Macaca mulatta: one gene and its partners. The protein of the gene in region 4 purifies or fractionates together with the protein of the main gene of each other region. This does not show direct contact. Links are inferred from orthologs where the notes say so. Each region holds a gene or a part of one and is shown on either strand. Other genes may lie near its edges.

Region 1 (4,403 bases), on a different chromosome or scaffold from region 4:
GTATTTTTGGTAGAGATGGGGTTTCATCATGTTGGCCAGGCTGGTTTTGAACTCCTGGCCTCAAGTGATCTGCCTGCCTCGGCCTCCCGAAGTGCTAGGATTGCAGGCATGAGCCACCGCACACGGCTTTACACCCAGTTCTTTAGTAATACCTGGCAGAGTCACTCCTGCCCTCGCACCTGCATCCCTAATCAATATCCAGCAAAAGTATCACTCCTTCCGAGAATCTCTCTGGCTCCATGGGTGGTCCTTCCTTCCTCTGTACTACCCAGCATTACACAATCGCAGTCCTGCCTCAGTTCAGAGTCATCTGAAAAGCATTCTGAAGACATACCCACTAAATGTCTTACCCTAAACAGAAAACAGCAGCAGCTCTGGGAGTGGGGTGTTGGCACTGATATTTTTCTATGTTACCTACACACCATCCCTACCTACTTTAATAATGGTAATAATAGTGGGTAACACTCACAGGTACTTTTATTCTTTGTAACAACTCTACCAGCTGGCAATTGTTACTATTTGCATTTTACAGATGAGGAATCTGAGGCACAAAACGGTTAAATATAATCCATCCATGGATTCTTTCTCTGGCAACTGCCATCCCACCCATGGCAAATCTGTGTGTACAATGCAGTCTACGGACTAGGTGTGGGTTTAGATTCACTGTATATGAGAATGACATTAATAAGTCACAGTTCCCTTGCCTCACTTGTTCTTCAGAATTCAAAGGGCCCTCTGACCTAAATCCCATAGTGTCCCAATCCTCTAATACCAGCACCCCAGGGTGGTGGTTGTCTCTTTGTGTGTGTGTGTGTGTGTGTTTAGAAGCAGGGTCTCGCTGTCACCCTAACTCACTGCAGCCTCAAACTCCTAGGCTGAAGTGATCCTTCTGCCTCAAACTCCTGAGCAGCTGGGACTACAGGTGTGAGCCACCCATGCCCAACAATTTTTATTTTTTATTTTTTGTAGACAGGGTCTTACTATGTTGCCCAGCATGGTTTCAAACTCCTGGCCTCAAGCAATTCCCAACCCCCAACCTCCACCACTTCGGCCTCCAGAAGCGCTGATATTATAGGCGTGAGCCACCTCGCCAGGCCTAGGTGGTGGGTTTTGACCACAAACCTGTGTTACATTCACTTTCTGGGCAGTCACAAGCTTCTTAAAAGCAGGTTAAGTACCTGTACCCTAACGGCATCTCAGCCAATACAAAAGGTTGCCCTTCTTAGATAAGGGCACTACAGGACACCAATCAGAGATCCTGACGGGGTGCCAGGCAGGAACGCTAACTAGAAATGCGGCCCTCCTGTACCATAAAAACAAACTCCTGGTGTCACCTCAAAATCTGCTGCCTTAGCCTTGACTCACTGTATAGCAGGCCCTACCTGTGCTGGTTAAGGAATGTAAGATCAAGCTGTTACCTATCTCTAGCTATGTGCTTCCTCCACTACACTGGTCCCTAAATCCTTCAGGTCCCTTGTCACCACGCCATTTTTGTTTTCTGACTGCAAGTCTTCTCCCAAAGCAAATCCACATAAAGCATCCCCTGTTTGAGCTTAAAAACAAAAAAATGTAGCCTCGCATCCAACCTACTAGTTTGATCTCACCAATGCCACACAATGGTAAATATATTTTACATAATTTATACCATGAATGCACTTTACATAATGTCCAGTAAGTCATGCGTTTCCAATCGCGAGATCATCAATTTGAGACTTTCTATCCTCTGCCCCCATCCCTAACAGGCTAAGGCAGGCGGCTGCAAAGTCTTTAATGGTGTTTCACGTGTATTTCCGCCCACAACTTCTTCAGCTTCTTAGTACTGACTTCTACGTACTCCTTTGAGACTAAAAACCGGGGACAGATCTAGTCTTATCGTTGGTTTTAACTTCACACACCACAGACGGGCTTTCGAAGAACGAACCGTATTTGAGACACTAAACATGTCAAGACCTACACTGAGCTCTATGATGTGATGGGGTGTATAGAGAAATTATTTTCGGTGTCACGAACTTGCAATTAAGCTACCACCTCTCCATTCTTTAGAGTTAAGGCGGGGAGGGAGTGAGGGGCGTGGGAACGCAAAGGGAGGCGGAAAAAGAGGATTATCAGTTCACACGGATAGTTAATTTCCCTTTCAGGTGAGCTCCCAGCAGCGCGGGTGGAAAGCTGCGGAATCTAACGCATTCCACACGGCACAGCTGGCTTCAGCAGGTACCTGAGAGCGGAGGGCGGTCGGGCTCCTGACCGCCGCGGGCGGGCGGCGCGGGGTTGAGCAGGTGCGCGAAGCTGGCGGCGAAGGGGTTTGCGGCCAGCGGCTCGGTGCGGTACATCTCCCAGAGCAGGTAGAGCGCCGTGAGACGCTGCGCCGCGCTGGGCAGCAGGTCCGGCTGCTGGAGCAGCATGACGAGCACCGAACCCAGGCGGAAGTGGTCGGCCTTGCTGAAGTAGTGATGGAAGGCGGTGGACAGGCCCTCGAAGGTGCTGCCGCCGCCCGCCTCCTCCGATATGATGCTGAGCAGGCTCGAGAGTTCCTTCGGGGTCAAGCTCATCCTGCCTGCGGGGCCCCCAGGGCCTCCGCTCCCGGACCCGGGGCCGCTTGCTCCGCCTCTGCCGCCGCCGGAGCCCCCGAAGCCGCTCCTGGACGCCGACCCTGCCGCTTCCCGGGACACTCTTTGCTCCGCGGCGGTGAGAAGCCGGCAAGACGCCGCGCTCGCCCCTCCGCCGGGCATCAACCTCGCTCCCCTTCCCCTCTTCCCGGCCCGAGGGGCCCTGGCGCCGGCTCGCTCCGTCCCCGCGGCCGTAAAGCGCGCTGTTACACGACAGCGTCGCAAACAAAACACGTCGGGGAAACCAGACCGCCGCGGAAAGGGACAGCGCCCAGCGAAAGCGAGGCTGATGGAGCGAAGCCAGGAAGAGGATGCGGAGACGCGGGGTAGGCGGGGCGAATTGGCAGGAAGCGGGGGCGGGGCCCGGGAAGGGAGGCGCGGTGAGAGGTCGGGCTGGCGGCCTTCAGGGCTAGGTCGGCTGAGGTTCCCCGGCAGGAGCGCCCGGGGCCCGCGTGCGTCGGCGCAACTGCAAGCGAAAGCCGCACCTTGGCGGTCCCTAGGACAGTGCCTGGTGCCAGACGGTCCCAGTAAATGCTATCTACGTTATTACTTGCAAAAACGCACCTCGGATGTTAACTATTTTCTTAACATAACATCCATAAGTATTCGTCGTAAAAATATTGTAAAGGCCGGCGGGGCGCGGTGGCGCGTGCCTGTAGTCCCAGCGCTTTGAGTGTCCTAGGCGAGAGGGTCGCTGGAGCCTGGGAGTCCCAGGCTGCAGTGAGCTGTCATCACCACTGCACTCCAGTCTGGGCGCTCTGTCTCAAACATTTTTTTTAATATAGTAAATGAAAAAGATGCCACGCATTTCTCGTAACCACGGTTAATTTCTAGTCTTACACTCTTTTATTGCAGAAATGGAATCGTACTGCGCTATGAGCTTTTTTGTACATGGTTTTTTCCCTCTTAACACGATTTCAAGAACATGTCTCCAGTTAATATTCATGTACAAAATTGTTTGCTGTGCCACGTTTTCCTTAGACTGCCCTAGGGTGCTTATCCTGGGCACTTAGCGGTGCATTAGAAACCCACGGGGAGGCGTTGCAAATACCTGGTCCCACCCCCAGAGATGAGTCAGGTATTAATAAACCCCGCCTCTTCAGGTGAGGCTGAGGTGTAGTCTGGGCTGAGAACCACCAGGTGGCATTTCCCAGACTTGCCCGTCCCTAAACCTACAGAAACGTGCATGTATTTCACCAGTGATTACCACCAGCGATTCTTAATTATCTAGTTAAGCGCCATCTCAATTCTTTTTTAAAACGTATTTTTATTTTATGTGTTTTTGGGGAGAAATTTTATTTTTTTTTTCATCTTTTTAAAACTTGTATTTCAGTAGTTTTGGGGGTACAGGTGGTTTTTGGTTACATGGATAAGTTTTGAGTAGTGATTTCCGAGATTTTCGTGCACCCGTCACCAGAGCAGTGTACACTGTACCTGTCAGGCCTTTGAGCCCAACCCTTCACATATACATCCAGATGGCCTGAAGTAACTGAAGAATCACAAAAGAAGTGAAAATGGCCGGTTCCTGCCTTAACTGATGACATTACCTTGTGAAATCCCTTCTCCTGGCTCAGAAGCTCCCCCACTGAGCACCTTATGGCCCCCACCCCTGCTGGCCAGAGAACAACCCGCTTTGACTGTAATTTTCCACTACTTTTATTGCTCACACAGCTTGTTTGGTGGTCTCTTCACGGACGCGCGTGACAATATCCAAAATGTAGTTTTTTATCCCTCACACCCGTCCCACGTATCCCCCCTCCTGCCCCTGCGGACTCCTCAAAGTCCATTATATCATTC
Region 2 (4,280 bases), on a different chromosome or scaffold from region 4:
TGAACAAATAATTTTCAGGTTATAATAACTGTAAAGCATCTCTGAAAAATCAAAAAGTGCAACACCCAAAGTTATAAAGGAAAAACAAAGGTAATTAGTCCTTGTAGGGAGGTATATGGGAAGTTGTATCATTCTGAATTTTTTTGTTTTTGTTTTTTGCCCAGCATCAGAAGATAAGCCACATTCTGAGTTTTATCTTCAAGATCAGGTACTTGGGGATATAAATCACTCACACACAAGCATTTTGCCCTCCTTTTCCACCATATAAATTAAAGTATTATAGAAACTGAAAAATTGTATAGGCTGTATGTGTTGCTTGGTTAAACAAACAGGCAATTCTCATTCCCTGAGATCAGATTAGGTTACAGATATCTCTACATTGTATACTTAAAAAAAGATTCCTGCCAACAAATGTTTACATTAACTTATTTGTATTGATGAAGTACTAATTCAGATACAAAAAAAAAAAACTTTAGCAGAGTTTCTCACTTCCTCTCTAAAATACAAAGTATTCACAAAAGTTATTACAATTCAAGCTCTCAGAAAATATGAGAGAAAGATACCTTTTCTACAATAAGGATCTTACAAAGTCAAGAAATAAGTGAGTAGAGTGGAACATGTTTTGTCTTTAAGTGTATTTTGTATTTCTTTTTCTTTAGATTTAACATTATAAAAGAACTACAAACTAAACAAATTCAACATACAGAGCTTACTAATTATCTTGGTCCATTATAAAACATTTCAATGAACTGGGCTCTGAATATAGACACTTAACCATTTCAGCCCACTATGATTCTTAACCCTTTCAATTCGCAATCTTACAAAATTATAAGAGACATATTCATTGACGTTTGGAAAGAACTGTTGTCAATTATGCCAAGCATTCCCAAACTCAACATAAACCTTGTATGTAAATGGATACTTTAAAATTTCTATCTCATCCCTCACCCCATACTTTATTCTTTCCACTTATCTTGCTTCAAAAGGGAAATCAAGAGTCACACTTATGATTCCGAGCTCTAAAAATTCCTAATATCAAGCATGAAGTATGTTCAACTTTGGAACCTTAAATTTAAGTTGGCTTCCCTCGTGAACTGACTTTGAGTACTTTTTACCATTTCGCCAAGAATCTAAGGGTTCAAATCAGTGTACTTAATTACGAAGAACTGCCCAAACGATTTTAAAAGGAGTGGGATTCTCTGACCAAGAGTTTTATGAAAATGAAACAAAATATGTTGCACTCAGTCTTCCGGATGTTGAAAAGTGAAGATGTCTCCAAGGATTCGAAGGAAGTTGTTTAGGTTCCTTCTGAGAGGGTGGTACCCTTATGTAAGACTTTAGTGGTGGTAATACCGTACCTACAGGCCTGGAATAAATATAAAGTCTAAAACCTTGGAAATACTTTGTATAAAAGAAAACTACAATTCACTTTTGCTAAGGACCACAGTCACCAAGAGTCATCAGCTTTCTCCCGGACAGACAACAGTGCCTCAATTAAGAACTACAAAGGCCTCTTTTAACCCTACTCTTTTCTTCTGTGAAACTTTTAAGTGAGACCTACAACAGCAAAAGGTGGAGAGGCCCCTGCGGAAGTAGAAAACCAGGGCTTGTAACTTCACAGACAGAAGCATCTGTGGTTCCTCCGCCGCCCCAGGACCATCCGGACTCAGTCTACGACACTACGGAAGCTTCACCTTCCTGGTGCGGTGGCAGAGGCAGCATCGCAGTTGCATTCCTTCTCCCTCCACCATGCACAGCCTTCGGTATCCCAGGGCCTGCAGGCTCCTGACACCCGTTAGCCAGTCCAGTGTCTCCCATCTGACACTTACACACACACTAACAGAAATACACATAACTGGCAGATGATATACGTGTATTGAGAATGTAAGGAGCCAGAGACAGCACCAGCTGCTGGGAAGGCGGCAGAGCCGTCTAAAGCGGGCTCGAGCTCCTCAGCCACGGCCGCAGCCGCCTTCTCTTCTCCCCCAGGAAGCAGCGCGGCGGTAGCGGCTCCTCCGCGCTGGCGGGAGCCTAGGGGAGTGGAGTCTGGGGAAGCCCCGCCACTCGCGGATGGGACCGGGCCTAGGATCTGGAGCTGCTGCTGCAGCGGCCCGAGTACAGCGACGCTTTACGTCCCGTCCACCACCACCCCCATACACACCCCCTCCCTCCCTCCACCGCCGCCACCCCCCCTCCCCGCCCGCTCCGCTCTCCCTCTCTCGATTGGAGCCGAGACAAAAGCAACGGGAAGCGGCGGGCCGGGACGCTACCGGCGGACCCCGGGCGCGGCCGGACCGGCCCCGGGGCATTCCCCCGCCTTGCGGGGGCCCCGAATCCGCCGCCCCCGCCGCGCGCCCCGCTGCCAGACTTCCGAAAATTTGCCAAAAACTCACCGCATGAATTTTCTTGTCCCGCGGATCCAAGATGGCGACGTATCCACCGCGGAGGCTGCTGGGAGCAAGACCTTTACCCTCTGACCGCCGCCGTGACCCCCGTCGCTCCGGCTTCCCTCCGGGTGGCGGCGGAAGGTGGGAGCGGCGACTGCAAAGCAGCAGCGATGGGGTGGGTAGGCCGCTTCCAGCGCGCTTCTAACAAGGTGGGGAGAGGCGCTTCACTCCCCTACCGCCCTTACCGCTGCTCCGTCTTGTCTCCCATCGACTCACAGGGAGGCTTGCTGCTCCTCCGCGGCCGTTACAGAGAGCGGGGCTTCTGCGGCCGCTGCCGTTTTCCTGGGGCCAGGTTGCTTCGCAGAGGGCTCTGGCCCCAAGTCCGAGGGGGACCGCAGGGTCCAGGGGCGATGAATGGTGAGGTGGCTTCAGTCCGCCCTCCCCGGGGATGCTGAGCGTGTTCGTGTTTGTGTTTGTGTTGGACACCCCGCCCCCGCACGTCCGCCTCCTCACTCCTCCCCTCCTCACTCCCGCCACCTGGGCGAATTTAACCGTGTCCCCGTTTCCTCCCTTAGCTCCCGCAACCTCCGGAGCTTGTGCGCGTACTTCAGGGACCGGCACCACGTCACCGTCACCTTCTGAGTAGTGAGTTCCCCTCTGATGAAACCACTGGTGTATTTACTCACCATCCTCACCTTTTTTTTTCCCCCCCCCAACCTGGTGGAAGGAAGTACATAATGGAGAGCAAGTTTTTAAAGCACGGTCGTGTCGTGTGAACTTGCTCTAGCCAAATTAGGTTTATAGCACTTTTTCTGACTCTCATTCCCCCCAGTCTCCACATAAACAAGAGTGACCAGCTGGGTCATCCGCAAGACCATTTGAAATTATTGTGGCTTGGGTGGAAACTTAAAGGAGTGAAGTATCTGCTTTCCAGAAAAATCGTTGTCGTTCAAAGTGAAATTAAACTTTTCTTTGCAATAATTCCCCTTTATTTCTTTGTATGTCTGTAAACTCTTCACTTTTTTTGTAATTACTAGACATTTCGTTCTTAAGAGCCTCTGCATGTGTGTTTTGGAATTGTGTAGCTTCATAATGTGAAAAATTGTCCTTTTCTATTTGAGTAATTAGTTAATTTGAAGTAAATAAAATTTCTACTTCACTTGGTTGTTTCTTTTAAAAATTTACCTTTTCCTTACAAAAGAATCACTGTAATCCAATTTAAATTTGTCATTGAAGGTCAAAAATAAGAAATAGCAAGAAACACAACATACTATAAAATAAAAGGTAACTGTCATGTTTTTGAAGGTAAGGTGTTTTGACATAGCAGACATTGTGTGAATTTATTTCAACTCCTAGTGGTACTGGTGTAGACAGAAAATGTTTTACTTGGTTATTCATTTCATCAAACATTCTACTTCATTTTTTTTTTTTTTTCCACTTCAGGAAAATTCGAGGAGGAACAACACATTGGTGTCTTTCCTTCTTTTCTCCCCGTCTTCTCCAAATAGTCCCTTCCTCTTTCTGCTTTCTCCTCCTCTCATGTTAACATCTTCAACCATAAGATGGTGTGTTAAAAGATTGGTTATACCTCTTTAGAATGACTTCCAGAGGGTGTAAGTCTGATTTGAGAGTTTTATTACCTTGAGTATTTTACTGGAAGAGATAGAACAACAAACATTTTTATAATAAACGTGTGGGTTAGGAGTGTTAGGAGAAAATACATTGATACTATTACTTTCAATATTTGATACTACTTACTTTGACTCACTGAACACTATTTGTTTAGGATGAATTCACTTTAAGCCATGTTGAAGAACAAGCCTTTAATTGTCCTATTATTTGTGCCAAATCTATTATAAATTTGTTAAAATTGTTTTAATACCTACCTTAGAG
Region 3 (3,631 bases), on a different chromosome or scaffold from region 4:
ATACACTAATGCTAACAATAGCTGATGAGCTAAAAAAAAAAAAATTCACAAAAAAGAAAATTCTCAGAATGTTTTAAGAGACTTTACGAATTTGTATTGGGCTGCGTTCACAGCCGCGCTGGGCACCCACTGGCTGCAGGTTGGACAGGCTTGATTTACGCTGATGTTAGGAGATGTTTACGGAGAAGGATACAGTGAAAAACATTAGGTAGAAGAAGTCATTTGGAAGATAAACCAGTAGTGCCTAATATAGAGAGAGCACCATGAAGAGATTCTTGGAAATTTTGAAGAAAGAGAAAATTGGCTTCTTAATGGGGTGGCTAGAATGCGTGTCAGTTACAGTGCTAAGACACTAGGGATTTAGTACTGAGGAAAGTTGGTCATGGCCTTTATAACTCAGTGTTTTGTAACTCTTCTGTTTTCTCTCTATTGCCAAAGTCTAAGAATTAGAATTATTAATACTGATCAGTGTATGGGAATTCTCTCCAAACTGAATTTGGAGTTGATATATCTATGAAAATTGAAGTGGAATACTGATGAGCTGTGAAGAAGAAAAGCAACCCATGGAAATAATGTCACTGATGAGTCAAAGAGGGTTAAAAATAAATTTTTAAAAAATCACTTTGAGGCTGGGCACGGTGGCTCACGCCTGTAATCTCAGCACTTTGGGAGGCCGAGGCGGGCGGATCACGAGGTCAGGAGATTGAGACCATCCTGGCTAACACGGTGAAACCCTGTCTCTACTAAAAATACAAAAAAAAATTAGCTGGGCGTGGTGGTGGGCGCCTGAAGTCCCAGCTACTTGGGAGACTGAGGCAGGAGAATGGCATGAACCCGGGAGGCGGAGCTTACAGTGAGCCGAGATCATGCCATTGACTCCAGCCTGGGCGATAGAGTGAGACTCCGTCTCTAAATAAATAAAAAGTAATCACTTTTGGTGATTGCAGTATTTCTTGATATTTGAGAGAATTATTTAATAGGATAGTAGAAATTACAGGGCATCTTGGGTTCAGTGGTAACAGAAAGGATGCTGATGCTTCATTTAAGGAAAGTGGCAGTGTAAAGAAGGAGATGGAGAGTGCCATAAGAAGGGAGGCTGGATGCAGTAGCCCATTCCTGTAATCCCAGCACTTTGGGAGGCCAGTTGGAAGCCAAGGCGGACAGGTCACTTGAGCTCAGAAGTTCAAAACCAGCTTGGGCAACATGGCAAACCCTTGTCTCTACAAAAATAGAAAAATTAGCCAGGCATGGTGACGCATATCTGTAATCCCAGCTACTTGGGAGGCTGCAGAAGGAGGATTGCTTGAGTCTGGGAGGTCAAGGCTGCAGTGAGCCGTGTTCAAGCCACTGCTTCCAGGATGATGGCCAGACCCTGTCTCAAGAATGGAAAGCAGAATCAACAGAATAGTGGTTTTTATTTTGTTTTACAGATAATACACAGACACAGTTGAGTGTTCACGAGTTAAGGAGTTGTATGTTAGGATAAAGATAGGCACTTTAGAAGTCCTTTGAGGAATGGCATGGAATAGCATCTAAGGCATTGGTAGCAGTTAGCTTCGGCGATGAGGCAAGCTGTCTTTGGAGTCTAAAGGAGAACAATCTTCACATAGGTAGATGTAAAGAAAGACAGGAATATTGGTCTGATATTTCTTTGTAAAGCAAGTGTGGGGTGAAGCCATATGCTGCAAGGAAACCGGTGAAGGGTGTTACTAGAAACTTGGAGAAAAAGGGCTAAACCACTTGCATACCTATACCTTGGCAAGTGGCCAAGAATAATGTGAGCCTGGAGAAGAATCTGTTTTTTATTGGTTGCTTATAGTTGCTAAGGCATGCCTCAGTGTGAGCATTGGGACCTGATGAGTGAGATTCTAATTTTTTGAGGTACATATTTTTAGCATAGGAAAGCTATGGTGTCACTAGAAAAAAACCAAAAACCAAAAAACTACTTCATTGGGTTTATTCTGTTACTCTTCCTAAAGGATATTCCAGGGGAGACTGACTTTTAAGTGATGTGGTTTCCTTCTGTTTTAAAGTATTTCCATTGTTAGCTTTGTAATTTTTCAGACCTAGAAATAAGTTGATTTCCAAAGGACTAACCATAAGGATACTTTTTGGCCCAAGTGAAATATACCCTATGGTTTAGTTTTGTCAAAAGTGTTTAATAGGAATTCCTTTTGCCAAGAGGTAGAATCCGGTATTCTTACAATTTGAAAAGTAAGTAAAAAAATACTTTTTCCCATATTCTCAAAAATATATCTGTATTTTGGTAGCTTTTTTGTTTTAATATTTCAGATACAGATATACTGTATTTTGGGAACTTTTGATTTAATATTTCAGATACACATATATTTGAGGTTGGAAATATATTTGTGGTTGGAGATGGCTTTCTTTTTGGCTTAAGTGAAGTCTTGAAGAATTGGTTTATATTTAGATTGCCTGGCTTGATTTTATAAGGCAGTCATTTAGGAATTGGATTGTTGGCAGAAGAAATTATTGCTGTTACAGCACAGTCCTTAACTTTAAACAGTGTTACTTATTGGAGCCATTTGCAAGGCTCATCATTTGTGAAAGGAGGCATCTCCTTCTTTAAGATGAAGTGTAGTTTAACTCGTCCACATGAGACGTTTTCTACCGGGTCTCCTTCCTGGTGCTGCTGAGAGCATGGGAGATGGGCATGTGCCCCGCAGCTATGGCTGCAGCTCCATGTGGCAGCCTTACAGTGGCTGCTGAGACTGAGAGTCTCTGAGAAAACTTGTCTGTTACTTTGTGATGGTAGCCCCTGGTGAGTAGAAGACCCTTTTCCAAACCCAGTTAAATGTATTTAAGTATGAAAGGCTAATAGAGTTAATAGTAAAGATTAAAATTGCACCTTTGGACTCTTTGAATGATTTTTTATTATTTGAAACACTTTTCTGAAATAATGACCCTTGTATTTAAATTGCATTTTTCTTGCATATATGTAAAGCATTGGAACAGCTGGACTCAAGCCAGTCCTCTGTCTCTTTTCCGGCACTGTAGTTATAGATGTAAGCAGAAGAACAGCTTGTTTGAAGTAATGGCATGTTTGAATGTTGTCTTTCTCTTTCTTCTGCCAGGGAGGATATGTATGCCCAGGACTCTATAGAGCTACTAACAACATCTGGTATCCAGTTTAAAAAACATGAGGAGGAAGGAATTGAGACCCAGTACTTTGCAGAACTTCTTATGACTTCTGGAGTGGTCCTCTGTGAAGGGGTCAAATGGTTGTCATTTCATAGGTAAAACGACTACATTGAAAATGCCTTTTGTTTTTCCATCTCATACTTGCTCCACACTTACCTGGGGCACTGTGTTAGTAATTTCAGGTTTAATTCTAGAAAGAGTTGACTGCCATATAGAGTTGTCTCCTGACTCTGAGGAGGCTAGTGTTGGTCTACTTAAAGGTTAATTTAAACTATGGGATCCATTTTTGCCTGTGAGAAGCATGTTGCATAGTGGAAACAGTACGGGTTCTCTACAAAGTGAAAGACCCCGGTTTAAATCCAGCAGTGCCTTTGGAATTGGTGTTACCCAGAGTTTTCTTTTACTGTTTCTACACCTTAGTTTTTAATGTTCTACAGGGGAAACCATTTATTTACATTTACAAAAATTT
Region 4 (3,631 bases):
CTGTCCATTTTCCATTTGGCAAGTGCCCCGGGAGACAGTGCTTATTCCCTACCTGAGCGTGAAGGGTTAAATTCCCCAGCTCCTTTAGGAAAAGCATCCTGGATGCCCAGACCTCTCAATGGTTCCTAAAAACATAACTCTTCTTTCCCTTAACCCATAAGGAGTTAAAGTTCTCCTCTAGCCAGGAAGAGTGCAGCTGGTCCCGCTGCCTTGCCAATACTTCTTGAAGAACTGCAGTGGGGGAGGGGAAGAGGAAAGAGTGATTTTCCAGGGCTGAAGTTGTTCTTAAGCCCTCCTTGGAGTGAGGGAGGCAAGGAAGATGGCGGGTGGAACCCAGCCTGGGCAAGAGTGTGACCTCACAGCACCCTGGTCTGGGACAGGCAAAGGACTGGCTCTGGGGCCAAGGCTCCAGACACTTGAAGGTAGAGAAGGGCAAGGCCAGAGGGCAGGGCAGGGCACGGACTCTCAGTTTCCCGCTCGGCCCAGACCACACCAGCCTTTGCTTCTCATAGCAGTAGGAAGAGAAAGGGAGCCTCTGAGCCCAGCAGAGCGGTCAAAGGCCCAAGGAGCCAGCCATGCCTCAAGCTGGCTCTCCCAGCACTGAGGACAGCCTCTGTGCAGCTGATGGCTCCTGAGATGCCTCAGCCTCTTCCTCCAATGTCCCGTGCCCACAACCCCAAGAAGCACCTCCTGGCCAGCCTTGCTTTCCACTAGTGGCAACTCTGGAGAAGCGTTATCATATGCAAATGTCTCCAACCAGCCAAAATCTCTATGCAGACACTAGCTGGCCTGGAATCAAGATGTGTTCTTGTCTTATCTCTCCCATCAGATTCCGCCTCACAGGGAGAGACTGTGCCCTGCTCCTCCTGACACACGCAGCCCACCCCAGGACAGGCACACTGCTCTGCCCACTGTAAGAGCTAACAGTTAAGAGCAGAGGCTTTGGAATCAAACAAGATGTCCGTCTCTGCCTCTTAACTTGCCGAGACTATGGAAGTCATTTTTGAGCCTCAGTTTCCTCATCTCTACAATGGATCTAATACTCCCTTGAACAAACAGGATGCCAATGAGGCCAGCTCTCAGTATATGGAAACTAAAAATAAACTTCTTGGCCGGGCGTGGTGGCTCACGCCTGTAATCCCAGCACTTTGGGAGGCCGAGGCAGGCGGATCACCTGAGGTCAGGAGTTCAAGACCAGCCTGGCCGACAGGATAAAACCCCATCTCTCCTAAACATACAAAAAAACTATTAGCTTGGTGTGGTGGCACACGCCTGTAATCCCAGCTACTTGGGAGGCTGAGGAAGGAGAATCACTTGAACCTGGGAGGCAGAGGTTGCAGTGAGCCGAGATTGCACCACTGTATTCCTGCCTGGGCGACAAGAGCAAAACACCATCTCAAAAAAAAAAAAAAAAAAAAAATCTATTGTCTATTAAATTTCTGTACTATACACTTGAACTCTCTAACATAAACCTACATCAATTCTGTAACGAAAACTACAACTTTAAAAGCATACAGTAATGATAACACCATCTGCTGGGGAATGACTTGTGACTTAGATCGGGATCTGCCTGTATTCACGGCACACGACCAATCTACGGGTAAAAGTCACAACCCTATACGGGGCCATGCACTTGGTCCCCAGCCCCCACCCAATCCCACCCCATCTGACCTCCAGGCTGCCACAAAACATACAACCTCCCACCCTTCACCTCTCCTCAGGGGTCCTGCTGTGCTCTTCCTGGCACTCGGCTGCAGGCTTTACTGGCTCCTCCTGGGACCGTCCCTTGGAGAGGGTGCTGCCATCCTCATCCCTGGGAGCAGTGGTCGTGCCATAGGTCCTGGGGCCATACCGCGAGCTGCCATCGTGGTTAAAGGTGAGGCGGGAACCCCACAGGCGGTCAGGGCTGGCAGGGACCTCCTTCCGAGGCTGCTCCATCTTGGCCAGGATCTCTTCCACCGTGGTGGCCGCGAAGCGCTCTGAGGCTGGGCGGAAAGGGGCAGGGGCCTTCCGTACGCCCCCTGGGGCGGCACATCGAGCTGGGGGTGTCAACGGGGGTGGCTCCTCTTTCCCAGCCTCCTCTTTCCCAGTCTCTTGGATGGCTTCTCCTCCAGTGGAGGCCTCAACCACAGGCCTTGGTGCAAAGGGAAGCGGGCGCTTGCTGCCACCATAGGGTTGGGGTCCTGCCAGCATGTTCATCTTCCTGGCAGAAGGCAACTCAGCCAGGGGACCCCGGGGAGGCCGAGGCCCAACAGGCACCAGCAGGCTGGGTTTGGCAGGCAGGGCTGGCTTGGCAGGCAGGGCCCGGGGTTTGGGCTTGACAGGGGGTTTGGCCCGAGTGTCACCTACCAAAAGGAAAGGGTTGGCAGGGGAGCTGTCAGAAGAACCAGGAAGCAGAACTCCTTTGTTCCTGTTCCACCTCATCTCCCACCCTCCAATTTAAGAATATTCACATCTTTCTAGACACAAGTCATATGCCACCTCTTCCGTGAAGCCTTCCTTGATTTTCTACACACATCCCAGAAGCATCTTCTTCCTTCTTCAAACTCCCAAAATGTTTTAGCCAATTCCCCTTTTAAGCTGAAGCTATGTAAGGACCCACCTGGCACCTTATTTCTTCCTGTACTGTATTTTGCAGCTAACATAAGTTTAATTATAAGTTATAATCAAACAAAAGAATGAATGAACAAAAGAGACAACAGACAAACGCCTGCCTGCCCCTATCAAGCAGTCAGTCCCCATATTCCCAATCTAGTTTGTTCACCTTATGTGACACTCTTCTCTATCAACCATAGTAAACTCTCAATCTCAGCCGAGCTTCTCTATCCTGCCTCCAGGCTGCCTCCTCCCCCAGTCATAGCACACTCCCAGGCCACCTCCCCACTGTCATCTGGTGTGTGACTGGGAATGCAAACTTACTATTGACCGAAGTCAAACAAAAGTAAATCTGCTACAGGGAGAAAAAAAAACAGGACCAGAAACCTACCTTCTATATAAAGCTAAATGACCTTGGAAGTAACCTCATCCACTACCCTCCTGATGGAATCCTTTACCTCCTACACATTTGGCTAAATATAAGAAAAGAGTCTATGCAAGGAGCCAGGAGGTCTGGGTTCAAACTCCCACTTGTACACTCCATTTGTCCCTGTGGGCCTCAGTTTCCCCCTCTGCAAAGCATGCAGCTTGATCTGTATCATCTCAAAGGTCCCTGTCTACTCTTACACCTGTTAGAAAGTTATGATCCCAAACAGTTCTGAAGAGTCTCAAGAGAAGCTGAGAACCTTTCACACTCATCCTGCACTGCCTTGGTACTCCTTCTCTATCTCAACAGAATCATCACTCAACCACCCCCCAAGACAGAAAGAGGGGGCAGCCTCTGCCCTTCCCACCCCCTCCCAGCCACCCAGCTCCACCCTGCACCCATTGGTACCTGGCTCAGAGCCAGCAGGCACCAGCTCCTCCTCCATCTCCCGGGGCAGTGGGGAAGCCATGGCTGAGCTTTCCCTGAGAGTAGACACTTTCATTACATGCGGCAGACCCTCCTTGAGAGTTGGGAGGCAGAGAGGTATGAGCCGGGGTGGCTGCAGACCTAGGAAAAGAGAGAGAAGAGAAGGAAAAAAAGAGTTGGGCG
Region 5 (4,369 bases), on a different chromosome or scaffold from region 4:
CCTCGCAGACACACCCAGAACATATGACCGAATGTTTGGGCACCACATGGCCCAGTCAAGTTGACACATGAAAGTAATCATCACGGGAGCTAAAACTGAAATCCACAATTTAGGATGACAGAGGAAATTCATTTGACTCACCCCAAAGTCAAAATGCCAGCCTAGTCTCCAGGAAGACACAGTTCTCAGCCCCTAGAGAAAGCACATGCATTTTGTTTCAGATGGTCATCTTGAGGAAGCGACTTCAGTATGACGCAACCTGAGATGGACACTTAATAAATGTGGCTTTGATCAAATTCTCATAATAAAACCGCACAGAAGAACCCAACGTCTGACATTTCCATTCACCCAGGCTCAAGGAACTTTTTACCTCGGGGCATCTGAGTCAGAGAGCCGCTTACCAACTTTACCAACTCAGGCCCCGGTGCTGACAAAGGAAGCTGCCTGAGTCACAGAGGCTGAATAACTGGCCCTCAGCACAGGACGGGAGTAAACTGATATCTAGTCTGATTTGTGTGTGTGTGTGTGCAATATTCTACTGGGTGTTTTTGACTGCAATTTAAATATCTTTCAGTACTGGAAGTGGCTTAACACGCAATCTTGGGTCAAAGAATGCAGCATAAGGCCTCATAGAAATATTCAAATGTTAAAAAATAAATAAATATTCAAATGTTCCTCCCGTGGTGTGTTTAGGGTTAGAACTCAGGTTCTCAAGTTAAGCTGCCTGGGGTCAGATCTCAGGGCTACCATTTACAGCCTGGGAAACCCTGAGTTAAAGTTACTTTGATCTCTGTTTTCAGTGTCTTTACCTGTAAAAATGAGGCTGTCAAATAGGTACACACTGTCTATGATGTCCAGACTTTTTAACAACCCTGCCAAAGAGACAACATCATTGTCACTGTTTCCCAGTGAAGGAAACCGAGACACCACGACATGAAGTGATTTGGCCCAGGCTGCACAGGTTGAGGGACCCGGATGTAAATTCAGGCAGCCTAGATGCAGTCCCCCGCATCCTCTAGCCTACCGCATCTGCCTGTGGTTATTTGTGAGACCGTGAGCTAAAATGAGACAGAATCTATGTGCCCAGAACAGTTTCTGGTCTTTAGTAAGCCCATCATTAGCCTTCATCGACATATGATGGTGTAAACGCATTTTAAACCATGGCAGGCTAATAAACACCATGAAAACACAATTCTATGTATCAATTGATGATCTTCTAAATTGGAGGGTGATCTAAATCCAGTAACACTTGAAAAAATTTTATATAAATGCACAATGAAATGTTCTTTGAGTTTGATTTTATTAAAATTAAATTGATAGACTAGGAATTCCTGTACTTCTAAGACTTGCTGCAAATTTTTTTTTTTTTTTTTTTGGTCTAAAACATCTTCAGGATAGTGCAAAACCTCTTTTCTTTAATATATTATTATAAAACATTCGTTAGTAGAGTCAGCACCAAAAATGTGAGATGTATTTGGAGTTGTGTTTTGAAGACAGTTCTCCTGATTCTAAGCCCAAATTGTGATTTATTACCTTCCAAAATATGTGGAAGGGAGTGCGGGCCTTAAGTTCAGTGCTGTCTAAGTTCACTGCTGCTTGGAGGCCAGCTACACATTTCAGCTAACGGGGTTAGCCTACTTCCAATTAAAACCTGACTGGGGATATGAAAGTAAATATGATTGATTCATTTAAAATCTGAAAAACAGTATTTTCTTCCCTCAATTTCTAGTATGCTAAGATATCACACGAGTGCAACTTAAGAAAAACTTAGAATCTTTTTCATTTAAAATACGCCTTTTTTTTTTAACCGAATGGTTCAGTTATTAAATGTCTACACGAGTCAAGGAGTGAGGTCACACTGCAAGCTCCACTTATTTCTACTGAAGGGAAATAGCCCGGACACCCCCGCGCAGACCACCGTGCCAGGACAACCGGCTCCGGAGTCGGGCCTTGAAGCAAGGGGACAGCGTCACCTCCCCGCAGCCGCCGGCTGGGACCCGCGGCCAGCCTTTACCCAGGCTAGCCAAGCCCCTGCCCGCATGGCGGTGCCCCACCTGGTGAGGACTTGGGCTGTAATCCCCCCTCTGGGGATGGGTCCGTGGGCTCCTCTGAGCTCCAGCGCCCCCAGGGTCTAGCCCCCTCTCATTGCTCCGCTCCCCTCTTCCCGTGGTCTCCCCACTCCCAGCCCCCAGGGATCTGCTCCCCTCTCCCGGGTCTACCCTACAGCTCATTTCCTTTCTCCCGGCTTCTCTCCGCACGGTTCGGCTCCCCTCTCCCAGGGTTCTTCTCCGACCCACAGCTCTCCTCTCCACTCACCGGTCTCCCCAACTCCGGATCTGCTCCCCTCTCCCCGGGTCTCGCACCGGATTCGGCCCCCTCTTCCGAGTCCTGGTGGCTAAGCCCCTCGGCCTCCCTCCGGGGCGCAGGGAGCTGGAGGTACTCACGGCGCCGCAGCGGCCCGGGGACTCCCGGACGGCGCGGGCGGGCGCGGGCGGCTGGTGGCTGCTGCTCCGCTGCCGGCCGAGTGGAGCGCTGCGCGGCTCCCGCCCTCGAGAACCCCCTCCGTGTCATTTGACCATATAAGGAGATGCACGCCTCGGCTCGCTGGCACCGGGCGTGGGGCGCTGGGGGCGGGCGCCCCCTGGCCTAGCGGTCGCCGTGCCCCCGCCCCGGGCTGCGGCGCTCCCGGCCCATGCCCTTTGTTTGCCAGGGCTCTTTCTTCTTGCCCTCCGGGTCTTGGGAGCACCTTGGTTATCCCGAGAGTCTCCTCCGACGTGGGCGTGAGTTTCGGACGGGGCCTGGACGCCAGTGGCAGGGGTCTGCCCACGCCGGGATCTCTGCCTGCTCCCAGGAGCAGGAAGCTGGCGAAGCCCGAGGAGGTGCCGGGGACGGCGGAGGGAGGAGGGGGCCACTTCTCAGGAGGCATGTGCCTGGGATGTATTTGCACGGTGGATTTTTTTCCTTCTTACCCTGCAGATGCTTCTTTACGAAAAGAACCCCACAGATGACCGTAAAGAATCGTTCGTTCCACTAGGGAGGGGACTAAAGGAAGGTCCTATCCCTACCTCTCCCTCTCGGGGCCAGAAGACTAGTTAGACATCCTGGATTCCCCTCCAGGGCGGGAAAAGCAAAGTGAGCTGGGAGCGTGCCTCCCACACTCCAAGCCTGTGCCCTCTGAGTGAGACTGACGCTGGGTAGGGACAGATGGCACTGTTCAACATTGTCGCAGGGAGAGCACAGGCTGAGCCCATCCCTGGGAGAGGGTGCATCGTGATAGAAACGTTTGCTCCTGAGCAGGTAACTGGTCCACTTGCAGAAACCGATGGACGATGAGCAGGTGGACAACAAAGGCGTCCTAGGCACTTTGGGGGCAGGTGTATTATTTTTAACATTCAGGGCAGCTCATAGGAATACATCCTCCAGAGAAGGCAGGAAGAACTCCGTGATTGCTTTCTTTTAGTTGATACTCCCCATCTGGTAGCCCTCATGGATCTCCATCATGGAATCACAGAACTTGAGAATCAAGGGTTTCATCACCTTAGCTTCCACTCTATGAGCACTAGCTCCACCTGGTATCTCATTTGATCCACACTTCCTTAAGGTAAAGATTTTTACCAGATTTATGGTGAGGAAAGTTCAGCTCAGAGAGATTTGCTCAAGGCCACGTGAAAGGTAACTGTGCCAGCTGAGATTTGAACTGGAGTCCGGTAGATGGCAAAACCATGTAAGTATATTACGGGATCAGAAATGCCTCTCATCCCTCAGTCACTCAGGTGACTCCAGAGGACTGAGACTTGCCATAAGCCCAGCCAGAACTAGATGTGCGGAATACAGCCGTCCCCTAACCCCACCCCACGGTGTCCCTGAAACGGGACACTTCCCTGAAGAACCTGAGTTAAGGCCACCCTCCCTGAATTTCCACTAAGTGTCAAGGCAGGCTAGTATTTTGAAATTCAGAGCAAAGTTTGTGTAGAAAAGGCTCCCAGCCCCTGACAGCTACCTAGCTGTGTTGTCGCTATTGTTACATATTAGGAAATGGTCTCCTAGTTCTCAAATGGTGAGCCTTAAGCTGCAGTTTGTAAAAACAAGTCCTAAAATGATGAAACATTAATTCTGCATTTATCTTCTTTCTGATTTCCTCTTGTCTTACATTTTGATTTTTTTAAGCTTTCTGACTTATGGGTGTAATCCATTTAACTTTGCTTTTTTTACTGATAGAGTTATTTAGTTCTGTTATTTTTCTTCTAATAACTGCTTTAGCTGTGCCACATAGTTTCAGCGATGTTGTTTTATTATTAAGAAATTCTGCGATTTAATTTTGTGTTTCATTTTTGACCTAATGGGTAGCAGAACATTTTAAATGACCCTG
Region 6 (4,246 bases), on a different chromosome or scaffold from region 4:
CATGACCATTTCAGGTAACAAAACCCAACTTCCTTTTTACAAAGTGATTAAAAAAACTTCAGCAGTTATGAGAATAGATGATTTTACTAGCTTTTACATACATATTTATAAGGAAATTAGAGTCCATTCATTATCACCAAATTTTCTAAAGGTTTACTGCCTTTAGAAAATGTAACCAAGATAAAAAGCAATATTGAAATATATTTGGCAACAAAAAAACTATGCTAGAAGACGAAACTGGTCACAGATCTGCTATTAAAAAAACCAAGACTGGCCGGGCGCAGTGGCTCACGCCTGTTATCCCAGCACTTTGGGAAGCCAAGGCGGGCAGATCACGAGGTCAGGAGTTGGAGACCAGCCTGGCCAACATAGTGAAACCCTGTCTCTACTAACAATACAAAAAAATTAGCCAGGCGTGGTGACAGGCGCCTGTAATCCTAGCTACTCGAGAGGCTGAGGCAGGAGAATCGCTGGAACCAGAGAGGCAGAGGTTGCAGCGATCGCACCACTGCACATCACCCGGGGTGACAGAGCGAAACTCCAACTCAAAACAAAACAAAACAAAAAAAACCCAACACGTTAATGTTATTAAAACACTGCCAGTATTTAAAGACATCTTAATTGGCATTTTAAAAAATATACTTTCCCAAGTTTAATTAAAGGCATTCTAACCTGGTATCGAAGACAAAAATCCAACAACACTGGTCAATGTGTATCACGTAGGCACAATAAACTTAAAAGTTTATTATTTAAATTATTTGTGGAATTTTGACCGGGCGCGGTGGCTTACGCCTGTAAACCCAGCACTTAAGTGGCGGAGGCGGATGGACTTGAGCCCAAGAGTTTGAGACCTGCCTGGGCAACAAGACGAAATTCAGTCTCTACAAGAAATACAAAAATTAGCTTGACGTGTTGGCGGGTGCCTGTAATCCCAGCTACTTGGGAAGCTGAGGCAGGAGAATCATTTGAACTCGGGAGGCGGAAGTTGCAGTGAGCCCAGCGAGACTCCGTTTCAAAAAAAAAAAAAAAAAAATTTGTTTAGTTGTAACAGGATTTGTATTATAACAGGATTTTTGCTTAATTTTATTTGAATAGTAACTATTTGCCTTAGAACAATTTATTATAGATTGATTTCCAGCATAAGCTCATATATGTCTTTGTTTTTGTCCTAAATCTTATGTATGAAGATCAGTTTCCAAATAAGAGAAAATCTAATGCTGTTGTTCAATGGCTTGTTAAGCATTTCAAAATGGCATGCCATATGTAGGTATGATGTATCAAGTTATTCGGTGCAGAGGACTTATGGATCATAACAGTCCCCTCCCCATCCCAACTTCTTATTTAAAAAAACACCCTGGTAGATTTACAGAGCACTCAAGGGGACACATTTTCCAATAGCCACAGCAGGAGACAAATGTCATAATTCTTGTAAGTAAGTTGTCTCGTGAGGTCATTCTAAGTTCCACGTGCCCTAAAATCATGTACTTACTGAAAAGCCTGACAAAACTGTTATGAAACTGTGCAAATGTCAGAAGAAAAGTTATTCCACCTTAGAATGTGCTCTTGTATTTAAAACGCTTTTCAAGAAATAAGTATACAAACTGCACACTGACAAATTCAGCTAATCAAAGACTCCACAGTGGAGCACCAGAGAAGGCAGGACGCTTTGTCAAGTCTTGAACGTGTTAACATGCAGTTTATTATCTGTTACAGAAAATCTTTCTTGAGGTTAAGAAAATCCATCAGCTATTCTACATTTGTTAACAAGAAACAAAATTTTCAAAAATTATCGTTAAAAGGGTGTGTCTACAGGGAAAGTCTAGTGCTCAAATTGTGAAGCACATGCCCTGAGGCTCACAGATTTATTATAGCGAATCAGACAGGCGACAGTACTTGAGAAAAGTACTGCATGTGTAGTGAGGTGGACAACATTTGGGACCTCTCCTTGTCGAGGAGTCGTGACAGCAAAATCACTTCCTGAGGAAGGAGGAGCAAAAAGGAAGAGGCCATCCTGACCAGGAAGTGACTCGCCCTAAACTAACCCCAATTATATCTACAAATGGGGGGATGGGGGTTAGCACCAACTGCTAAAGGCGGTAAAATAACTGCTTTTTGATATGTAGCAACATAACCACCACCCACTCTCAAAATTACAGGAAAAAAGTCCACAGTCACGATCTAATAAAGGAAACGTCTGTTCCCTCGCAGGGAGGCCCCTGGGCTGTGCCTCAGGCCTGAGAGAAAAGGAGAGTCGAGGAACGAGGAACTGGGGCCACCGTGAGGCAGAGGAAAGCCCCGTAAGAGGGAAGCGTCCCGACTGCGGAGAGCGTATGTCAGCATTGACAAAGAAGCTTCTTTTTCCTGGGGACACTGCGAGGCTCCCAACGCAGCCGGGCCGAGCCCCAGTTCCCTGTCGGGGGAGGAGGTAAGAGAGAGAGGCGGACCCCTTACCTTCTCCTCATCCGACACACGATCATCGAAGTCGGCCATCTTGGGCTGTTCTGGCCCAGCCCGGGTGTGGGCGCTAGGCAGGCCGGGAAGAAAGCCGAGTGATGGAATCACCGCGGGGGCCGTCGGAAGGACCCGCCCGGAAACGCCGACCAAGAGGGCGCCATGTCAGTTATGCGCGGGAGTGACGTCTACTAGTGCCAGCGCCCGCGCCCGCGCCCCAGGAAGTAGGCTTTGCCTTCGGTGATTTAAAGTCTAATATCTTTCCCAATGAGTTACACTCATTTCCCATCCATCTAATGGGTGCTGGCAGCGTGTTTCGATTATTCTTGGCTCCTGGCCTCCATCCGACCAAGTCGCTCTTGCAGTTTTTCTGGTACCCGTTATCTCCACGACAGCCGAATCCAAAGCTCTAAGAGCTGCTCGGCCGCTGGAACGATCGGTGGCTTTTCCAACCCCGGGGGGCGGGGGTGTGAAAGGTGACCCTCATTTCGTTTGGAAGCGGTAATACTTCACTTTGGGGTCACATCTTAGTCCAGTTCCTCCAGAACAGGCGCTGCTGTCCGCCCCTTCCCTGCCCCACAAAGGAATAGGTATCCTCAATCTTGAGACACGCTCCTCCACCTTCGAAATCTTCTCGGTCCCGGTTCCCCAGGACTCAGCCTTCAGAGAGGCCAACTTCAGGTCCGCCACTATCCCAGGATTCCCGACTCCCGGTTTCCTGTCCTTCTCCCCTCCCAGCTCCTGGCTCCTGCGATAGCGGCAAGATGGCGGACGGTGGCGGCTCGGGTGAAGCCGCGGCTGCTAGAGCGTCTCCTGCACCTGTCCCCGGCCTAAACCCGACGTTGGGCTGGAGGGAGCGACTGCGAGCCGGGCTGGCGGGGACTGGGGTCTCGGTGTGGTTAGTGGCGGGGCTGGGGCTGCTTTACGCTCTGAGGATCCCTTTGAGGCTGTGTGAGAATTTGGCAGCGGGTGAGAGGACCAGACCTCCTGGGGCAGGGCGGGGGGCCAGGAGAGATGTCGGGGGCAAGAGCCAAAGGGCAAGAGATTCTCGGTAGTCCTAGAGGGCCTCTGAGGAGTCGATGATGAGCGATCAAGTGGGTTCTTTTTCTTTTGGACTGCAACCTTGCAGTTGATTGTCAAGCCTGCTGCCTCTACCGGCTCCTCCCTAGAACTCTTAAGGTCCGTCCTTTCTCTTATGTCCTCGTTTTTCCGTGGAAAAGCCACCTGACAAGCTATAAGCTTCAGGTATTAGGACAGAAGGGTGCATTCTCAGATTAGGATACGTAATTTATATTGGCTCCCCCGCCTCTGGTAGGATCCCATAAAGTCACTGCTTTGAGTGTCTCGCCGCCCAGCTGAGAGAACTCATATCCAGGCAACAAAGATGAGCACATCTGTAATTTAAAGATTTCAGAGAAAGAAAATGGCATGATTTTAATTGACGATTCTCTTGTTTTAAAATAGTTCTGTTAAGAAATAGTTGTCGTGATATTTTTGTCTGTTCTTTTAGGCTTATCTTGAGTAATGTAGTACAGGAAGTGAGAGAGCGCCACAAACAACTGTCGGTTTGCTAGTTCTTTCGACATCTGTAGAACACTTGCTATGTAGTCTGTGCTGAAAATACTAACACATGTAAGAAGTGATGATCCTGATGGATTCTCATATACTGTACTATTCTTTAGTTGTAGACGGGATAAAGTGTTTAGGGCCCAGATCCCCTTAGCATGTGATTATATTTCACTCAAGCTCTGAGCAGCAACCTCAGAACAAGATAGAAGTATTTCTGTTATATGAT
Region 7 (2,946 bases), on a different chromosome or scaffold from region 4:
ACATTAACACAAAACCTCAGATGCTAAAATAATCTAAGAGTCAAGAAAAGACTTCTGATAAAATTATGTTTTAATTGCCTATGGCATATATTACATAATGTCTCAAAATTAATAGTCTGGCTGAAATTAAGAAAAACAGCAGGCCGGGCGCGGTGGCTCAAGCCTGTAATCCCAGCACTTTGGGAGGCCGAGACGGGTGGATCACAAGGTCAGGAGATCGAGACCATCCTGGCGAACACGGTGAAACCCCGTCTCTACTAAAAAGTACAAAAAAACTAGCTGGGCGAGGTGGCGGGCGCCTGTAGTCCCAGCTACGCGGGAGGCTGAGGCAGGAGAATGGCGTAAACCCGGGAGGCGGAGCTTGCAGTGAGCTGAGATCCAGCCACTGCACACCAGCCTGGGCAACAGAGTGAGACTCCGTCTCAAAACAAAACAAAAAAAAAACAAAAGAAAACCAGCTGATGATGACCTAGTAAATCCTTAATTTTAAGTAAGCTTTTGGCAAAAAGTCAGGGGTAGAACCGTCTCAAAATTAACAGCCTTCACCATCTTTTATTCATTCTGCTGTGATACAAGTAAAATGGCCAGTAAATACTCCCCTGGGTCTCAGGTAACAGTTTTCCAAAAGCGAAGTATCACTTTCTCTGCACAGTGGTGAAAGCCGGCATTTGGATGGGCTGGATCGGGTGGACAGGCTGAAACACTGGCTTCTTTCTCACTTCAGAGTGTGTTTTCACTGCAGGGAGCAGCTGATTCCTTTTGATGATCTGTAAGGCCAGCTGAGTATTACCTATAAAAACACTTCCCGTTAAAAAAGCAAGCAACAATACTACCACACACAAAGCAAGCCATGAGAATCCTGCTAGGGAGGTAAAAGATGATCTAGAAGAGCCGTCATCTGCAGCCTTGGCTGTACACTGGAATCCCATAAAGCCTCCATCCTATCCCCAGAAATTCCAATTTAAGTGATGTAGGGCATGGCCCGGGCAATGGAACTTTTTTTTTTTTTTTTTTTGAGACGGAGTCTCCCTCTGTCCCCAGGCTGGAGTGTAGGGGCACCATCTAGGTTCACTGCAGCCTCCGCCTCCCGGGTTCACGCCATTCTCCTGCCTCAGCCTCCCGAGTAGCTGGGACTACAGGCGCCCGCCACCACGCCCAGCTAATTTTTTGTATTTTTAGTAGAAACGGGGTTTCACCATGTTAGCCAGGATGGTCTCGATCTCCTGATCTCGTGATCTGCCCGCCTTGAACTCCCAAAGTGCTGGGATTACAGGCGTGAGCCACCGCGCCCGGCCAGGCAATGGAATTTTTAAAAGTTTCCCAGTGATTCTAAGGTACAGCCCAGATAGAGAACTTGTTATAGGTGGGCTGTATAAAAGAAACAATCAGCTCGGAGGGTTGGTTCACGTCTGTAACCCTAGCACTTTGGGAGGCCGAGGTGGGCAGATCGTCTGGGCTCAGGAGTTTGAGACCAGGTTGGGTAACATGGTGAAACCCTGTCTCTAGAAAAAATACAAAAATTAGCTGGGCGTGGTGGTGTATGTCTGTAGTCCCAGCTATGTGGGGGGCTGAGGCAGGAGGGCTGCTTGAACCTGGGAGGTCAAGGCTGCAGTGAGCTGAGATCACGCCACTACATTCCAGCCTGGGTGACAAACTGAGACCCTATCTCAAAACAAAAAACAATGAAACAGTCTAGGGCAATGCACTAACCCTAATCACATCTTTAAGGAGGCTAAGTCTGGCTGGGTGCCAGGCACTTAAGACCCCTTCTTCAGCTATTAAAAAAAAAGGGGAGCCTTGTAAGAGTTCCCATGGTCAACAAGGAGTTATGCCTTTGAACACTGGGTTTTCTTTGAGACAGAGTCTTGTTCTGCGGCCCAGGCTGGAGTGCAGTGGGGTGATTATGGCTCACTGCAACCTCCATCTCCGAGGTTCAAGCGATTCTCCTGCCTCAGCTTCCAGAGTAGCTGGGATTACAGGCATGAGCTACTGTGCCCAGCCTTTTTTTATTTTTTATTTTTTAAAAAAGAGACAGGGTCTCACTATGTTGCCCAGGCTGGAGTGCAGTGACTGTTCACAGGAGCAATACTGCACACTATAGCCTTGAACTCTTGGCCTTAAGCAATCCTCCTGCCTCAGCCTCCAGAGTAGCTAGGACTCCACGCCTGGCTGTGACTTCATTTCTGTCCCTTTTTTGTTTTTTGAGACAGAGTCTCGCTCTGTCGTCCAGGCTGGAGTGTGGTGGCACGATCTCCCTCCGCCTCCAGGATTCAAGCAATTCTCCTGCCTTAGCCTCCTGAGTAGCTGGAACTACAACTGCGTGCCAACACGCCCAGCTAATTTTGTGTATTTTTAGTAGAGACAGAGAAAATAACATTTATTTTCACCATGTTAGCCAGGATGGTCTCGATCTCCTGACCTCGTGATCCGCCCGCCTCGGCCTCCCAAGTGTTGGGATTACAGGCGTGAGTGAGCCACTGCACCCGGCCTAGTTCTGTCCCTTCTAATCTCTCTCATTCATGTCTCTTTTCTACTTCATGCTATCTCATATCTAGAGCCGACAGCCTTTCTTCTAGTGAGATACATCTTGCAGATCGTATATGCCCTAGAGGCATGACCTGAATTTATGTTTGAATAAATAATTCTCAGCAAGAACTGGCTTACTGTAAAACTTGTTAATATATGTGTTCAAAATACTATGGTGTACAACTCAAAGCAACTACAGTCTAACTCATGTTCTCAATTAGTCATTTAGCTGCCTATGAGAAAGGTTAATAGGGATTAATTATAATTAAGTGTCAGAAGTTATGATTCTGTATTTTCTCAGATAAAAGGTGATAAGCTTAACTTGTAAGGAGTATTTGTAGGATACCAAAAACTCCCCAACTATATCTATCAGTCAATCTATCTATCTAGATATAGATATTTTTTATTATTACTATTTGA

The links.
Region 1: the proteins of TNKS1BP1 (region 4) and CNOT11 purify together in Homo sapiens (affinity purification with mass spectrometry; 5 studies listed by BioGRID and IntAct, counting the BioPlex papers as one, with this or other methods). This does not show direct contact. The link is inferred for Macaca mulatta from reciprocal best matches to the Homo sapiens genes TNKS1BP1 and CNOT11.
Region 2: the proteins of TNKS1BP1 (region 4) and CNOT2 purify together in Homo sapiens (affinity purification with mass spectrometry; 5 studies listed by BioGRID and IntAct, with this or other methods). This does not show direct contact. The link is inferred for Macaca mulatta from reciprocal best matches to the Homo sapiens genes TNKS1BP1 and CNOT2.
Region 3: the proteins of TNKS1BP1 (region 4) and CNOT7 purify together in Homo sapiens (affinity purification with mass spectrometry; 4 studies listed by BioGRID and IntAct, counting the BioPlex papers as one, with this or other methods). This does not show direct contact. The link is inferred for Macaca mulatta from reciprocal best matches to the Homo sapiens genes TNKS1BP1 and CNOT7.
Region 5: the proteins of TNKS1BP1 (region 4) and FHL2 purify together in Homo sapiens (affinity purification with mass spectrometry; 3 studies listed by BioGRID and IntAct, with this or other methods). This does not show direct contact. The link is inferred for Macaca mulatta from reciprocal best matches to the Homo sapiens genes TNKS1BP1 and FHL2.
Region 6: the proteins of TNKS1BP1 (region 4) and CAPZA1 purify together in Homo sapiens (affinity purification with mass spectrometry; 3 studies listed by BioGRID and IntAct, with this or other methods). This does not show direct contact. The link is inferred for Macaca mulatta from reciprocal best matches to the Homo sapiens genes TNKS1BP1 and CAPZA1.
Region 7: the proteins of TNKS1BP1 (region 4) and CNOT10 purify together in Homo sapiens (affinity purification with mass spectrometry; 4 studies listed by BioGRID and IntAct, with this or other methods). This does not show direct contact. The link is inferred for Macaca mulatta from reciprocal best matches to the Homo sapiens genes TNKS1BP1 and CNOT10.

The regions. Positions count from the first base shown.
Region 1 is NC_133418.1:9,406,618-9,411,020, reverse strand, and holds the start of CNOT11 (CCR4-NOT transcription complex subunit 11), read right to left. Parts: upstream 2,809-4,403; 5' UTR 2,730-2,808; coding exon 2,216-2,729; intron 1-2,215. UniProt on the Homo sapiens protein: Component of the CCR4-NOT complex which is one of the major cellular mRNA deadenylases and is linked to various cellular processes including bulk mRNA degradation, miRNA-mediated repression, translational repression during translational initiation and general transcription regulation.
Region 2 is NC_133416.1:77,323,184-77,327,463, reverse strand, and holds the start of CNOT2 (CCR4-NOT transcription complex subunit 2), read right to left. Parts: upstream 2,877-4,280; 5' UTR 2,805-2,876; coding exon of another isoform or gene 2,425-2,804; 5' UTR 2,394-2,424; intron 1-2,393. Other genes in the region: uncharacterized protein LOC144332960, read left to right, coding at 2,425-2,562, 2,666-2,804, 2,963-3,033. UniProt on the Homo sapiens protein: Component of the CCR4-NOT complex which is one of the major cellular mRNA deadenylases and is linked to various cellular processes including bulk mRNA degradation, miRNA-mediated repression, translational repression during translational initiation and general transcription regulation.
Region 3 is NC_133413.1:18,829,390-18,833,020, reverse strand, and holds part of CNOT7 (CCR4-NOT transcription complex subunit 7), read left to right. Parts: intron 1-3,095; coding exon 3,096-3,257; intron 3,258-3,631. UniProt on the Homo sapiens protein: Has 3'-5' poly(A) exoribonuclease activity for synthetic poly(A) RNA substrate. Its function seems to be partially redundant with that of CNOT8.
Region 4 is NC_133419.1:16,085,665-16,089,295, reverse strand, and holds part of TNKS1BP1 (182 kDa tankyrase-1-binding protein), read right to left. Parts: intron 3,590-3,631; 5' UTR 3,525-3,589; coding exon 3,431-3,524; intron 2,346-3,430; coding exon 1,712-2,345; intron 1-1,711.
Region 5 is NC_133418.1:13,500,696-13,505,064, forward strand, and holds the start of FHL2 (four and a half LIM domains protein 2), read right to left. Parts: upstream 2,869-4,369; 5' UTR 2,572-2,868; coding exon 2,317-2,571; intron 193-2,316; coding exon 142-192; intron 1-141. UniProt on the Homo sapiens protein: May function as a molecular transmitter linking various signaling pathways to transcriptional regulation. Negatively regulates the transcriptional repressor E4F1 and may function in cell growth.
Region 6 is NC_133406.1:127,634,826-127,639,071, forward strand, and holds the start of CAPZA1 (F-actin-capping protein subunit alpha-1), read right to left. Parts: upstream 2,886-4,246; 5' UTR 2,676-2,885; coding exon of another isoform or gene 2,675-2,675; 5' UTR 2,491-2,674; coding exon 2,452-2,490; intron 2,426-2,451; exon of another isoform or gene 2,061-2,425; intron 1-2,060. Other genes in the region: ST7L (suppressor of tumorigenicity 7 protein-like), read left to right, coding at 3,216-3,420. UniProt on the Homo sapiens protein: F-actin-capping proteins bind in a Ca(2+)-independent manner to the fast growing ends of actin filaments (barbed end) thereby blocking the exchange of subunits at these ends.
Region 7 is NC_133407.1:15,750,242-15,753,187, forward strand, and holds the end of CNOT10 (CCR4-NOT transcription complex subunit 10), read right to left. Parts: intron 791-2,946; coding exon 636-790; 3' UTR 533-635; downstream 1-532. UniProt on the Homo sapiens protein: Component of the CCR4-NOT complex which is one of the major cellular mRNA deadenylases and is linked to various cellular processes including bulk mRNA degradation, miRNA-mediated repression, translational repression during translational initiation and general transcription regulation.